Linked DNA regions of Caenorhabditis elegans. The protein of the gene in region 2 interacts with the protein of the main gene of each other region in a biochemical or structural test. Each region holds a gene or a part of one and is shown on either strand. Other genes may lie near its edges.

The links.
Region 1: of the proteins of shw-3 (region 2) and acp-2, one has a biochemical effect on the other in vitro, tested with the Caenorhabditis elegans proteins (one study listed by BioGRID).

Annotation. Positions count from the first base shown.
Region 1 is NC_003280.10:8,428,395-8,433,662, forward strand, and holds acp-2 (ACid Phosphatase family), read right to left. Parts: upstream 3,537-5,268; 5' UTR 3,520-3,536; coding exon 3,430-3,519; intron 3,386-3,429; coding exon 3,293-3,385; intron 3,246-3,292; coding exon 3,153-3,245; intron 3,107-3,152; coding exon 2,981-3,106; intron 2,928-2,980; coding exon 2,841-2,927; intron 2,753-2,840; coding exon 2,654-2,752; intron 2,601-2,653; coding exon 2,346-2,600; intron 2,092-2,345; coding exon 1,858-2,091; intron 1,807-1,857; coding exon 1,657-1,806; 3' UTR 1,565-1,656; downstream 1-1,564. Other genes in the region: F14E5.2 (Golgi apparatus protein 1 homolog), read right to left, coding at 1-214, 261-349, 396-444; acp-4 (ACid Phosphatase family), read right to left, coding at 4,596-4,631, 4,924-4,984, 5,100-5,260.
Region 2 is NC_003283.11:12,973,508-12,983,519, forward strand, and holds the start of shw-3 (BTB domain-containing protein), read right to left. Parts: upstream 7,103-10,012; coding exon 7,050-7,102; intron 2,835-7,049; coding exon 2,736-2,834; intron 2,684-2,735; coding exon 2,579-2,683; intron 2,533-2,578; coding exon 2,472-2,532; intron 2,426-2,471; coding exon 2,297-2,425; intron 2,226-2,296; exon of another isoform or gene 2,076-2,225; intron 1,764-2,075; coding exon 1,443-1,763; intron 1,394-1,442; coding exon 989-1,393; intron 803-988; exon of another isoform or gene 653-802; intron 341-652; coding exon 224-340; intron 166-223; coding exon 61-165; intron 13-60; coding exon 1-12.

The DNA.
Region 1 (5,268 bases), on a different chromosome or scaffold from region 2:
TTTGAGATGTACAAAGATTCATTGCAGCATTTCCCTTCAACTCTTCCTCGCAATATTGTTTGGCCGCGGATACGAAACGCTCGTCTTGTGTTATTTTGACCTTGAAATCCCAGACAAGTTGCTCACACTGTTCGGATAGAGTCGCTGTCTCAGAAAATCCGGCATCTTGAAGGCATTCAAGAATCGACATGTCGCTTGTTAGATCTACATCAGGCTGAAATATTTTATTTGCCTATCAATAGCTTTAATGTCAAACTCACTCGGCTACAATGTTTATGAATATCTGCTTTGCATGCATCGAAACTGGCCAACTTCTTATCTGGATCGTTCGCTACGTTTTGTTGTTGAGCTGAAATTTGAATTTATTTTGAATCAATTGAATATTCCTGACATACCTGTTGTCAGCCAACAAACCGACGCGAGTATCAGTGGAAACCTCCACATATTTCAGGTTCAGGACCCTGAAAATAAATTTTCAACGTGTGCAAATAGAAAAACATTCTGAAAGTGACGTCATTTGAGAAAAATGTCGAATTTTAATTGAAACGACAACAATTAGGTATATAAAAATGTGGTGAAAAGTGGACAAGTGTGCACACAGAAACCCTCTTTTTTGTCGGAAAATATAGAAGATAGAGAAAAAGACTTGAAAAAATAGAAAACGGATCCTGGAAAACAAATAGAAATCCGTTGGAACCTGGGCACGGAAACTTGCGGACCAGTGGTGTTTGCACACAATGCGCACTAAACAACGCGCAAACTATTGTCAGAAAACCTGACACGTCATCTTATTTAATGAAAATACTATGCCTCTGTAATTAAATATTATTTTTTGAGAATTCAACTAACTTTGCCTGAACTTGAAAACTGAGAACAAAAAAATTTCGTAATTTTTGCGTCAAAACTACAGTACCCGGTCTCGGCACGACAGTTTTTGTTAAATGCAAAAGGGCATGCCCCTTTAAACAGTACTGTAGTTTCGAATGTGTGTTTTTGCGGACTTTTATTGATTGATTTGAATACCGTATTCTTAGCACAAAATTTCGCATTTGGGGAATAATAATTAAACTTTTCAAAATAAATAATGTCCATTTTTGATGCTAATTCTCACAAATTTAGGTAGGAAAAAATACGCTAGAAAAACTAATGATTTGCCGAGAAATTACAACCGGGCCACGTGGCTATATTGTTAAAAACAAAACGCCCTCCGTCCACCCGAAACAATATTTTTGAGATAATATTATCGAACAGAACAGGCCGATCGGTAAACTAGGCATAAAAGGAGAGAGGACGAGAAATAGAAGAGAACAATGCGCTCAGGAAGGTGAAGAGACTTGTTTTGTCTTCTGCAGTCCGACAGAGAAAACTTACGGCATCAAGAGAAGGAGGATCTCGACGAATAGACCGATGCCCATTCGTCGTATAGTCGGTTAAGTGGAGATGACGAATTAATCGGACGAAAAAAAAAACGAAGAGAAACTTTTTTGGTTGTTAGGCTACGGAAGTTCAATATGCAAAGCTAGGTCCTTTTTCCATCGAAACCACAATTTATACTTGAGTATTTCACGCGGAACCTTCATTTAAATGGAATATAAATATCAATCGATTCACTTCATTCGCATGTATTTACAGAAAGAAACAGTATCAACTAATTGATTATTCTGGACCAGAGAATTCCGATACATGAAGATCTCTTCTAATATTATTAGGTGGAGAGCTTCTCGTGGTTCGAATCTTTAAATCAGATGCTTCACAACTCTCAGCTTCACCTTTGTTTCGATAATCATCGCAGCAGTCGAGGAAATCCTGAAATACATTTTTAATGTATGAATGAGAAAACAAAAGTTCAAAACAAACCTGTGCCAAACATCGTTCTCTTTTACAGTTTCTCACAAATTTGGTGACATCTATTAGCTCATGATCCTCGGCAGTGATCTCTTCTTTTTTATAGAAAACTTTCACAAAATATTTTCCATTATCCTTCCACGTTTCAAATATGATCATTGAGTTGTATTCGGGATATTTGTCGAGTCCAACAGTTTGTTCCAACACATTCAATGAATCGAGCACTCCCATTAGAATCCAGTCTTGCTGAAATATTTTATTATTAGGATTAATCAGCAAATACTGATTTTGAACTTGGAAATAACTCTAGAAACTCGAAAAAAGAGACACCAATGGTGTTTTAGATTAACCATATCATCCAAAAACCGAAAAGACATCCGAAAATATAATTCGATACAGAACGCGAAGAGGGCTAGTAAGGAGGCGAGTGACAAACGCCCTCGCCACGCCTCGACCTTATCGACATATCTGAGCCATGTTGTGTATATGATATAACATACCGTAGAGTACACTGCCAACTTCTCCCTTCTGGATACTCTTCCATCACTCTTGTGTTTCTCTTCTTTATCCATGTATATCTTATTTTTAATGTCCGTTAGCAACGTGTTCATAAGATTTCCAAATTTGACCTTCATCATTCGCGGGTCATGATGATTACCAGTTCCTGTGATAAACTGGGTCACATTCACATAAATACCCATGATTTCGTTTATATGTTGAGCGATGAGTGGTGGAAGAGGAATTCCATTTTTGTACTGAAAAAATAAATAAATGAACAGCTTAGACGCTGAATGAGTTTAAAATAAACCTCATTGATATGAGCTTCAATGGTGTGAAAAGGGTATTGCTTGAAAACTGGGTGAGTATATTTAAGACAGTTGGCAATGAATTCCTCGTAAATCGTCCACTGAAGAATAATCATTTTTGAAATGTTTGACTTTTAATAAAACTTTATTCAAATCCAATACCAATCTGAAAAGCTCTATATATCTTACCGGATGAAAACTTCCACCAAAATCTGGGCATTTCTCTTTGATCAGCTCTAACTCTCGGGGACAGTTAGCTTGGTCGTAGTTTAGTAGCTGAAATAAAAGGATAGATTAATCAGTTATTTTTATTTTCAATTTCTAAATACATTTTCTCCGATCTCCTCTGTAAGAACAGGAACATATAAATGCCTAGATGGATCTTCGAACATAGCCGCACCAACGGTTGACGCTGAGCTTAGACATCGATTTTTGTTTACGGATCTCCAATACATCTGAAATTTTGAAAAATATAATAAAATTTCTGAAAAATAACGATACCTGACGTGGCTTCAAATTTCCATCAACAAATTTCGAGTCTACATATCGAGTTTTTAAGAATCGTCCCAATCGAAATGAATTTTCGAAGCCTCTCTGAAATTACTATTTTCAAACTTAAATTAATAAAATAACAGTCTTACATCAGTCAATTCTCCTAGACCTCTTGGAAAGTTTGCAAGATAAGCAGGATCGCTGAGACTATTTGATGGGGCACGGGCTCCATGACGAAATAGCTAAGAATATTTATGTATGTAAAAGACGGATGACATTATCTTACCACTTGTGTGTAAATCCGTTTGGGGTTTTCAGAAAGTGCGATGGCGAATTGAACAATCAAACAAATGAACAAAAACCATGAAATCTTCATCTTTTGATTTCTCACTTCTGTAATATTAGAGATATAAAATAAAAATACATGAAAATTGTTTACCAACAAGCTTGAAGTTGAAAAATTACAAGAAATTGAAACATGAGATTGAAAAGCTGTGTTTCACGAGTAAAAAAAAACAAATAAATCAAATAAATCACCTTTCTGAAGCACGCGGAGGTCGCAGAGGTGGAAGTTTTTCTTAGATTTTCCAGTTTATTTATTTATTTAATAATAATTTCTCATAAAAGTACTTTCATGCAAGTGCCTGCCTGCCTTGCTTACGTGGCTTCTGCCAAAAGTACTCAGAAACAACTTCAACTTTGAACGGACTAAATAAATGAAAAACCAAAGTATCCAAAAAATCAGAATTAGAAGAAGATGAAGATATAGTGCAGAGATATCCAGGAACAAGAAAATTGCTGGTTATCTACCCTTATCTTTCATTTTCTTGCTACTATCTTATCTTTTGTTATAATTCCTACTGCACAAAGAATAAATAAAAAGTTCAACGTTCTGTTGAGAACATGCTAAGGATGTGTAAATGTTCAAGAATATCTTATATGAAGGTTGTATATGGGATATTCAAATCCAAAATGAAATGCCAACTGACCAAAATAAGGAATATGATTAAAAATGATTTCAAGAAAGCGCTGAGTCAATTCTGAAGAAACAATACATATTTTATTCCTTTTGTCAGCCAAAACGTATCATTCTCTTTTTTTCGAACAATTTGTTTAAAATGCATGAGTTTGCAAAGGCGCCAGTAAGTTTTGAAAATAGAGAAGACGAATTACAAATTAAAATATTATTTATAAAAAGTTCAACAATTATTTTCAAGTTCTTCCAGTGTTGCTCGGGTATTATCACAGCATTTATTCAAATTCTGAAAGATAAAATATCCTAAAAGTAATTTTTATGATTAGAACCCACCCTCAGAGAACATTTTTTCCCTGGGCATCCTGGAATGATACCAGTCAAATCTTGTAGAATATGGTCTTCCAGAGTAACCTCTTCCGGTTTATAGTAAAACTTCACGAATGGCTTTTCATTCTCACTCCATAGCTCCATTAGAATCATTGCATTGTAGTTTGGTTCTTCTTTAGGACCAACTGTTTGGATATGATTTAACCAGCCGTGGACCGCACCTACGGCGCGGCCCCCGACTTTTTTGAGAAAACACATTAGATAAACGGTGTCTATCGCGGACCTCGATCGATGTCTGCTGCGCATTTAGCATAAGGTTTCCCAAAATTTCGTTGCTCTGATCAGAGATCAAACTACATAGGGACAGAAGGACACGCGCTTTATATATAGTAAATGATACACCGAAAGCATCTAAAACACCTCCCAGCACCCAATCTTGCTGAAACGACAGATTTTTGGAAGAACAAGCTAACTCACAGTTGAATAAACTTTGAATTTTAAACTTTCTTTATTCGCAAGATTGTTTGTCCAAGCAGTTCTGAAATTAAATGAAATACGAATGATCTCTTGGTATCTAAAAAAATTTCGGAACGAGGAAACTCACACATCCGCCCTCCCGGCCGGATTCCCCGAAAATTCCTCTAAAAACTAACTTTAAATTCTCCAACAGTGTATCAATAAGCACGCCGAACCGAAACTTAATAATTACTGGTTTCCCAATGCCGTTTTTTAAATTTCGATATTTCATATATTCTTCAGATATGACTTCGATGTTTTCACAAATGAAATCCGGCACGGGAACATTGTTCTTATACTGAAAAA
Region 2 (10,012 bases):
AGCATGTTTTACCTGAAAGTTTGAAATACACGAATGCCTCCCCTAGAATATTTTACTTACATGCTGAGCAACTTGATCCATTGAGAGCACTCCTCGTCTTTTCTTGGGCATCTTTGAACGAGCTTGTGTATGGGAATAGAACATGGCGAAGTTAGAGACGATGACCTTGAAATTAAAATTCAAAACTGGCAACATTAATTTGAATAATAAATGGAAAACATACTGGAACTGGCAAAGCGATTGTCAATACACCAGCGAGAGCACAAATCGAACCAATCAGGCGGCCCAGATATGTATGAGGTGTTATGTCACCATAGCCAATTGTTGTCATTGTGACGATCTGGAAATTGGAATTTTGTTCTGATGTTTCATTTTTACAAGGAAAGGTTTCATTTTACTTTCAGAATTTGTAACAAGAAATATTACGAGAATGTAAAATTCAGAGAATGCGTATTGCACAACATATTTGACGCGAAAAATATCTCGCAGCGAAAACTACAGTAAATCTTTAAATGTCTACTGTAACATGTTATTATAACACTGATGTCAATTTACAGGCTGCACTTTCGAAACGAATTTCTTTTCTAATTGTGACAACGATATTTAATTTTCCTCCTATTTTTCGTTGTTTTTTTACAATGTTTCATCAGAAAAAAAAAGTGAAAAACAATGCGACAGTAGTCATTTAAAGAACTACTGTAGTTTTCGGTGCGAGATATTCTGCGCGTCAAATATGTTGCGCAATACGCATCCTCAAAACGTAGTGTTCCCGTAATACGTTATTTCCAGACATTTAATTGTTTTTTAAAGAATGTTTAGAAGTGGGCACGCAGTACAGAAATTTTTTGGAAACTATAAAAAATAGTTTTGAAAAATTGAATCATTCATCCAACTCAAAAAATAAAAAAAAGGAGAAAGGTACTTTCAAAATATTGAGTTCAAAATTTAAAGGGCTTAACGTGAGTATAAATAGACATTCTCAACTTACCGCCCACCACAATCCAATCGGAATTGACACAAATTGATTATCTTCATTACTTTCCACCCGTTCTGCATAATACACCAGTGATGCAAATACAACAACTCCCAATACCAAAAAGAATACAAGTAGCATCAATTCCTTTGCTGATGCTCGGAAGGTGTGCATCAAAATCTTGAGTCCCGAATTATGATGAGTCAATTTGAAAAGTCTCATAATACGAATGATGGAGAAGAACTCAAGATCTGCAGTTGCTCCAAACATGCTTGATAATAAATCAATGTAGAATGTCAAAGTGGCAACAATGTCGATAATGTTCACAGGTGCACGAAGATATTCAAAACGAGATGGACATGAAGAGAATCTTGCCAGAATTTCAATCGTGAACCAAATGTTACATATTGTTTCTATGTACTGAAAAGTATAAGGAATATTAAATATTCAATCTTTCTGTATACTGTACCATAAAAGTTGGATGAGGCCTAGAATTGGCCTTATCAATGTTTATCTGTGCAGGATGTATTCGTGAAGATGTACTCCGATGATTCCGCGAAAAGTTTCCAAATGGAGCTAATTCAGGGATCCTCAAACCAGGATGGGTTTTCAGACAGAAAACAATGATGGCTGTTATCAGAAAAAATACAGAAATAGCTGCTATAAATTGTGCTGATCTAGATGAATTTGGTTCATCGAAAAGCCTCCAAATCCGAGGTTTGATCTTCTGCCAGGCACTGAGACTATCATTATGATAGTCATCCTCCCAACCAAATCGTTTGTACAGTTCCTGAAAATTTCGAGTTTTAATTTTGCCAATCGTGACTTTTTTAGACCAAGCCTATTGTCAAATTGGTAAAAAATAGAATTTTTCTGACTATCTGAGAGATATCTGGCACCAATATTTACTTCTATAATAGTTACTTTAAAATCTGAAGTATAGCGAGTTTGAAACCTCGAAAAATTTGAAGTATTCCTATTATAGTGTTTTTTTTTTGAAATTTTGAAGCTTCATTTTAAACTTTAAAATGAAGCTTCAAAATTTCAAAAAAAACTATAATAGGAACACTTCAAATTTAAAACTGTGCCTTTAAAATTTAAAGGCACGGTTTTTTTCTCGGTGGGTCTCGCCACGATCTCATTCGATTACTTTTTACTCCACAATGTGCAGACATAGCAACCAAATTCACGTTGTACTTAGTATGCCGGTTTTTTTTTGATTAGGAGTCGCAAAAACTTTTATATTGCTTTGTAAAATGAATCATAATGGATAAAAAATGTTCTAAAATTCTGCATTTTTCTCTTGTTATACAAAAAGCTTACAGGTCCTTCTGTTTGATCAACTTCAATATCCAACTCGTCTAATGTTTTGAGCACATCTTGTGTATCTCTTGTACCAGATAATGTCATCCAACAGCATGGTTCGCATTCATTTGAATCAAGTCCCCAATACTAAAAAATAATGTATTTTCTTATCTTTTAACAATTATCTTCTTACCTTTAACTCCTCTTCAAATAATGGTCCACACACGTCAAGAGGATAATGCAATTTGCCCGTTCTTAAACTCAAAAAAATTATCGAAAATGCGATTTGTGCCTTGTTACCTATAATAATTTAGTATTTGCGCAAAAACTCCGGGATGTCTATCGAAAAAATACTCGTTTAAAACTGGATCATAATTGGCCAAATTTGTAGTCAACCGGGATAGTCTGAATAAAAAAAATCATGCTAGAAAGAAATATGGAATAATTGTTACTTTACCGTGTAGCTGGAATTTTCTTAAGCGTATGCTTATAGGTTTCGTGTCGAACACCACCCACGTTGAGTATGATCCGGTATTCACTGTCCATGACAGTCTGTCTGTAATTATTAGAAAATTGTTTCTGTAAGCAAATGAAAAAAAAACAACGTTAACTGACTAGTGAGCAATGTATAATTGATGTTTTTTTGGATTTCAAAAACCAAGTTTTTCAGTCAGGCCTACTAGTTAACTTTTAAGCCTTTCACTAGACGTAATTCAGTATGTTGTATATCCTTCGAAGGACGCTTAATCTCAGCTAAATATACAGAAAGTGATATCAAACTTAGAAAGCTGTTGTTGAGAAAGCAAGACGTACATAAAAATGCACATAAGCCCGAACATAATGACGGAAAACATATCACTTTGGAGTCGACTACGGTAGGAGGAGGGGGATGTTCACAAAAGTTATCCGTAATGCATCTAAATCGTAAATTTGTAAGTTTGTTTCTGGTGGCTCAAGAGATCTGGCACAAAAGCAGCATCTGGAGCGTGATGAATTGTTGTGTTGAGACCGGATAATAACAATCATAAAAGCGTGCCACCAGAGCAGAGAATGAAGGGCCAGAGGAGCAGTCTTATTTTTTGCCGCAGCCGACGCCACACAACCAACACCACCCCAGTTGGAGCCATATCTCCTATGTCTCTCCCGTCCCACCCTTCTTGCTTCCATTGTTCCCGCTCTTGTATGTTTGTGGTCCCTTCCGCTTCCTCATTAAAATTTGATCACATACGCCAAAATGAGAGACAAGACGAAAGGAGAGGCGTCGTGAGATGTATAGTTACAGATAGTTGTTAAGATTGGGAGGCTCGGTACTCGTGAAAAAGTTCCGAAAATTTTGAATTGATATGGGTAAAATAAGTTTTCTGCATTTTTCTAGTATCACTACAAAGGTTTTGAGGAAATTCTTCTAGGTAAATCCACAAAACTGCTAATTTCAGTGTGCATATCATTTTAGAGCAAAAATTTATTTTTAAATGTAGAAAAACATCTATTCGATTTGAAAAAAAAGAAGTTTGAAGTTAACCTATAATATCAAAAATATCCACAGTTAGTTTAGAAAGTAAGTTGTACGGATACTTATTGCGAGGCAGATTCCCAAGTTTACAATTTCAACAATAAACTTTCGACAATAAAACAAAAATAAATTTATTTTAGTTCTTTTGGAGGTCACGTTTTAAAAACAATTTTTTTTAAACCTACAGATTTATTTTAATAAAAATGCTCTATTAGAAAACGATTCAAATTTAAGAAAATGATTTTCATGGATAAATATTTGTTTACATTATACTCTTATAAACTCACATAACAACTCAAAACATATTTTTTGGTCGATCTTGATTATGAACATTTTTTGAGTAAGCTATTTTTCTTCGGATAATGTATAATTTTATAATTTCCTACGTCACTATTTCTATAGATTTTTGAATATGACTCCATGTGGTTCTTTGTATTTTTTCGCTCTGATCAGCTATATTTATTAAATTCTATTTTTTATTACAAAATACACCGTAAAATTGTATCAACCAGATAGAGGTGTTCAATGTTTTTGCCGGATTGTTTTTCACATTCCAAAAATACAATTAACTTCCGAAATCAGAAAACTACAATTGTACGCCTTTTGGTCTGGAAACGATTGCATTATCATTACTAAACATTTTGGCAAGAAAAAACGAAACGTTGAACTTATAAACCCCACACCCAAATACCACAAAGAAAGTCCAAATAGTCTCAAAACACGAAAAGCAAGTACCTATTGAAATTTTGATTCAAAGCAAGCAAAGCGAGAGGGAAATGTGACCGAAAATATTTCAAATCCACATTTTTCCCCAGCAACAGCCAGCTAATTCACTTTTTGTTGACTTTTCTAGCAAAAGAACTCGGTCACCTAGAAACAGTTGGACAGAAAAAGCGAACATCAACAAATTATTTTTTTGAATTGTCAAAAGTGTTGCGATGGCGGTGAAAATAGACATTCCAACAAGTGGATGATGAGCCGATCCTCTGCAGAGCAAAAAGAGAGATGAGACGAAATAAAGAGAGATTATCGTTCACGGGTAATTTGATATGTTTTGTCACATACTCTAGATTGCAGGACAACGAAATAGAGAGTAGGAAGAGGACTTCGAGAAAGGAGGAAAAAGAACAAGAAGTAGTAGTAGAAGAAGAAGGTGGTACATGGATCATGATGAGACACACAGGACACGGACAGAGAAGACTCGGCTTAATGTACGTAATTATCGATGGTGCCAACTGAAGAAAAAGGAAAAGAGTTACTTCTTGTTAGACAATTAGATGCTTGAGTTATCTTGAAAAATTTTTTGTTCATTTATATATTTTTTAGATTTCGTATCGTTTCAGGCTATTTTGATTATAATCAGTTATTCCTAATGTAAGAAAATACTCCGTTTTTTTTTGAAATTTAGCTGTGTAGCTGTTCTTCGATTTGTTTTACTCTAATTTTGGAAGAACTGGCAACTTTTTCCAACAATGCGGTTTTTTTTGAGTGATTTTAAGAATTGCTGCAGGTTTGAATGTTCTAGAATGTTCAAATACAAAAATTGAAACGCATTTAAAATTTTGAAACCAATTTTGAGTTATCTCCACTTTTTGACTGAGATTTATAACAATTTAACAAAATTTTTGCAAAATTGATTTGCAAAGTTTGAATTTTTAGGACTATACGAGCGGTTTCAAATCATTTCCCTACTCTCAATACTCCATCTTCAAATAAGAAGTTCAGATTAAAATTATATTTCTGTCCAAAGAAGTGCCTTTCTAGATTTAGTTCCAATTTTCGAGAATATTTGTGACTTGGGGTAAACAAATGATTTTTGTTGAGCAAGATTGTAACTGGTGCTGTGGCTCATATGGAGATATCATCAGAAAATACAATTTGGGTGGCCGCATTGGAGTGTGAAAAAAGGAAAAAGAGAGGAAGAGAAATAGAGAGACAGAGAGGGAGAGAATAGTGGAAAAACCGAATCATGAAGAATTTGTATGAAAAGTGAGAAGGTCAGCAGCAAATTGAGAATCTGACACTACTAGATTAGACGAAAAAGCAAAACATAGGAAATAACGTGCAGTAAGAACGAAAATTAGAATCTGAAGAAGCATTTTTTATAAGAACCTAATAGTAAGATTTTCAAGATCTCGAAGATTTTCAAGCGATACTTCCGGGCGAAAAAAGAAAATACTTGTGAGCAAATATTTATATTCATGGCTACATTTAGAATCTCTCCTAGATTCACCTCCACCCTCACTAGTCTTCCATCCCATTAATTGCTGCTCATCAAAGGACACGGAAATGTACTTTGTCACTTCTCTTTTGGAAGGTGTCGACTGAAAAAAAAAGAATGCGCATGACGAGAGTGCGGGAAAGAAAGAATAAAGGAAATGAAGGAGATGTGGGCCACCGAGGAAAGGAAGCAGTTGGTGCAAAAATGAGTGGACACACCGGATTATTACCCTTTTATTATTATTGTTATTCCAGATATTTTTGAAGAAAATGGTTTATTACTTTTGTCAGGGTAGAAGCTAAGAAAAATAAGATTTACGCGAGCAAGTTGTTAGAAAGCATCGGGGTTAAAAATCCAGCTGTAAAAAATGTTTTGAAGTTTAGATTTTAAATAGTCCAAGTTTAAGAGGTTCTTATAAAACTTTTAGAAAAATAACTGTAATTTATAACACCTTGTAAAACTATGTACCGTGTTTTCTATATTAGTATTGCAGCCCTAGGAGCAAATCGAAAGTTAGTGTTGCGCCCTCTAATACACTGACTTGTTGTAAGATCAGCCGTATTTTGCAGAAATCTTGGTAAAATTTATGAGTTTTCAGATAACGATAAACCGGTTCAGATAACTCATCGTGGGAAATAATGGTTAAAAAAATCCAAAGTATTATTTACAGTGACACATTATAATAAAAAATTATGAATTTTAAAATTGTTAAGCAAAATTCACTCAACTAGCTCACAACACTACAAACACAATTACGAACACGGCATGCAAGTTTTTAAGCCGAAAATCTAGAGTTCACAATTTTTGAATGCTGTCGCCCATTTTAGACTCACAATGATTGGCAAAAAAAGGACAATGAGCTTTGTAACCTGCCCTTTTCTCAATTTAATTTTTATTCTCTCATCTTCTTTTTTTGCAGAGAGAGAGAGAGCATCAGTATATCTAATTCATTTTCACTTTTTTTCCACTGCTCCCATTCATTTTGCAAATTGCTTTTTCATTTTTTGTTGAAATTTCTTCCTGTTTGAAACACTTACCCAAATGCGGTCGACGGACTTGTTCCATTATTGTTCCGTCGTCGAATTGACATTGACGGGGGGACGATCCAAAAATACTAAATCAAGAAGAAATGAAAAAGAGCAGAAATTGAAACGAAGAATATTTCGATCAAGAATGAAAAATTGAAGTTGTGAGACATGAAAATCAACGAAAAAACTAGGAAAAGGTGTCCTGGCAACAATTCGGAAAGAGGCCTCCGGCGACGGCAATAAATGAGAAAGCAACAAACAAGGCTTTTCAAAAAAAGTTTCTTTCTTGTGTCACCCCATTTTCTGACAAAATAACTGGGAGATTTTTTTTTAAAGGAAATGCAAAATGCAAAATATTTGTTCAAAGTTGAATCTGTCATTCGGCATTTTGCAAAATGTGTTCAAGCTATAATTTTTGTAAAATGGAAAAATTGAACGTCTGAGTTTCGATAATTGTTTTAGTGGTCAGATGCTGTTTCACAGGATATCAATTTCAGTGTCTCAGAACACTTTTGCTATTAAAAGTTGATATATTTTGAGGAAAATTCCCGGAAACGGGGGAAATGTTTTACCAGGCAAGTTTTAGGTTTATTGAAAAAGCAAGTTAGAATTTTAACCTACAGAGAACAATTTTTTAGTAACATCTTCACTTCTAATTTTATAATCTTTTACCGTATATCTTCTATTAGTTTGGCCTCCCTATTAGACTGGCACTCCCTATTAGTATTGCCCTTCAAAGACCTTCCGAAAATTAGTATTGCATTCCCTATTAGTGTTGCACTCCCTAATAGTCTTGCACCTACTTTTTTTTGGTGCAAACCCTCCTTACTAATTTTAAGATTTTAATAACATTTTTTGAATATTTTGCAACAATTTATAAGAAAATTTTTATGAGATTGAAGTTATTGTACCTTTTTGTTGCAATTTCAATCAAATTTTCTATATTTCCAAATTAAAGTTGGAGTTTTTTCAAGTAAATACTAGTAAGCCCCAACACAGAAAAATGTTCTGAAAAATAGTATTTCACTCCCTATTAGTCTTGCACTCCCTAATAGTATTGCAAGCGGGAAGACCTTCGAAAAATAGTATTGCAGCCATATTAATAGAAGAAATACGGTAAATTTTTAAACTTTGGAAACGAACGAGAAAACGTCGAAACTTTTAGCTTGAGGTTATCATTTTCAGTCGAGGTTTTGAAGAATACTAATTTTTTGTTAAATTTATTTCTATAGACAAAAATAATAAAAAAATATTGCTTAATTTCCCAAAACGAAAGTTCAATTTAATGCAAAATCAAAAACAAGCTTGAACATAGCGATACATTTTAATAATCAGCTAATAAAATTTTTATTTTGGAAGTGACTGCGAATAACAAAAGTGCAAGAGAGTGTTGAATATGTATATATCATATTAATTTGTCAACTAGTCTCAAAAAATATCTTATTATCAAAATTATGACGTTTTTATGACAGCAAAGTACGTGGGAAACTTTAAAACTAGAAAGCAAGCACCTAAAAATATATGTGAATTAAAATGAACAGTGATCTTAAAGCGGAAAAAGAGAAAACCGAGAACTGAGATATATCTAATGAATCGAGTAAAATGTATAATTTGGGTGGGTTTCAGTTGACAAATTCTTAGATGAGAAGGATGTATCAGTGCTTTCACCAAAAAAAGAATGAAAGAAGAGGAGGAGCAAGCGGTGGAGATATGTGTGCGAATGTGAATGTGAATAAATTTGATTAATTGGCACGAGAAAGTCAGCTATTCGGTCGCCATCGTCGCAAGCACTTCAGATCAAAACGGACACGGAGAAGAGCTGGAAGTGACAAGCACTTTTGGAAATGTACTTTTCTGTTTCTTTACTTTTATTTTCTTCATTGAGAGTTTCGAAAAGCTGGAGACATAGAAAACAGTAAATTGATTGATATACAGGTATGCAATTGTTTTACAGGATTCGTCTTTATTTATAGTTGATTGTTAGTTGGCAAATGATTAGTTCAAGAAAGTTAACAATTTTTGTTTCTGAAATTATTTTATAGCATCAGCTTAAAGTTCAACTTATCACTCAACAATTTCATAGACCTACTGGAATCTGAAAAACGTTTTTTAATTACCAAAGTGGTATACACTAAAACTGTAATTTTTTGAAATTTTCAAAAATAATTTCGACAAAAAGATTTGTAAACTAAACTTCAAAAATGATCGTCAAATTTATTTTCATTTTTTTCGGGATGTTTTGAGTGGCATTTAGAAAATGACGCTGAAGCAAAATATTTGACAAATTTCGAAAATAATCCATGTTTTTTTTTCCAGAGAAACTAAACTGCATAAAAGCTTTACTATGAAAAATATAGGCAGTTATATAATTTAGACTTCTCAATATGATTTAAAGTGAGAAACTACATTCTGAAATTTGGAATTTTTGGAAATATAGAAATGAACAGGTATTATTTAAAAAACTAAGCTTTTTCAAAAAAATTTGTGTTACTTTTTCGTGAAATTTAGTTTGCAACACAAGTTAGTTTAATTTTGCAAAAAAAAAAGAAAAAAGAAAGCAAATTTTTTGTTTGAAGTGAGATGAGGAAAAGAAGCATGTAGAAATTAATTTCAAATATTGCTCTTGTCCGCCTTTGGCCTCTAATTTTCAACGCCAGACTATATTTTCAGTATTTTTTTTCCTTGAGCCGTTCTTTTTTCAGAGGTTCCCCATACTGACCCGAATACTAATCTTGTTTTTTTTCATTCTTTTTTCCAGCACTTTTCAGCTGTTTGGATATGATGAAAATTTGATGGTGATGAAGCAAAAACAGAAGAAACAGGAAAACGAGTTTTCTAAAAATCTCGTAGGGAAATAATTTGATAAAAGAAAGTTATACAACTGACAAAGGGAAAAACAAAAGAGAAATATATATATAAATGAGGTTATAGAGTTATCTCACGAGGTTCAATTAGCATACTGATTGCTTTTG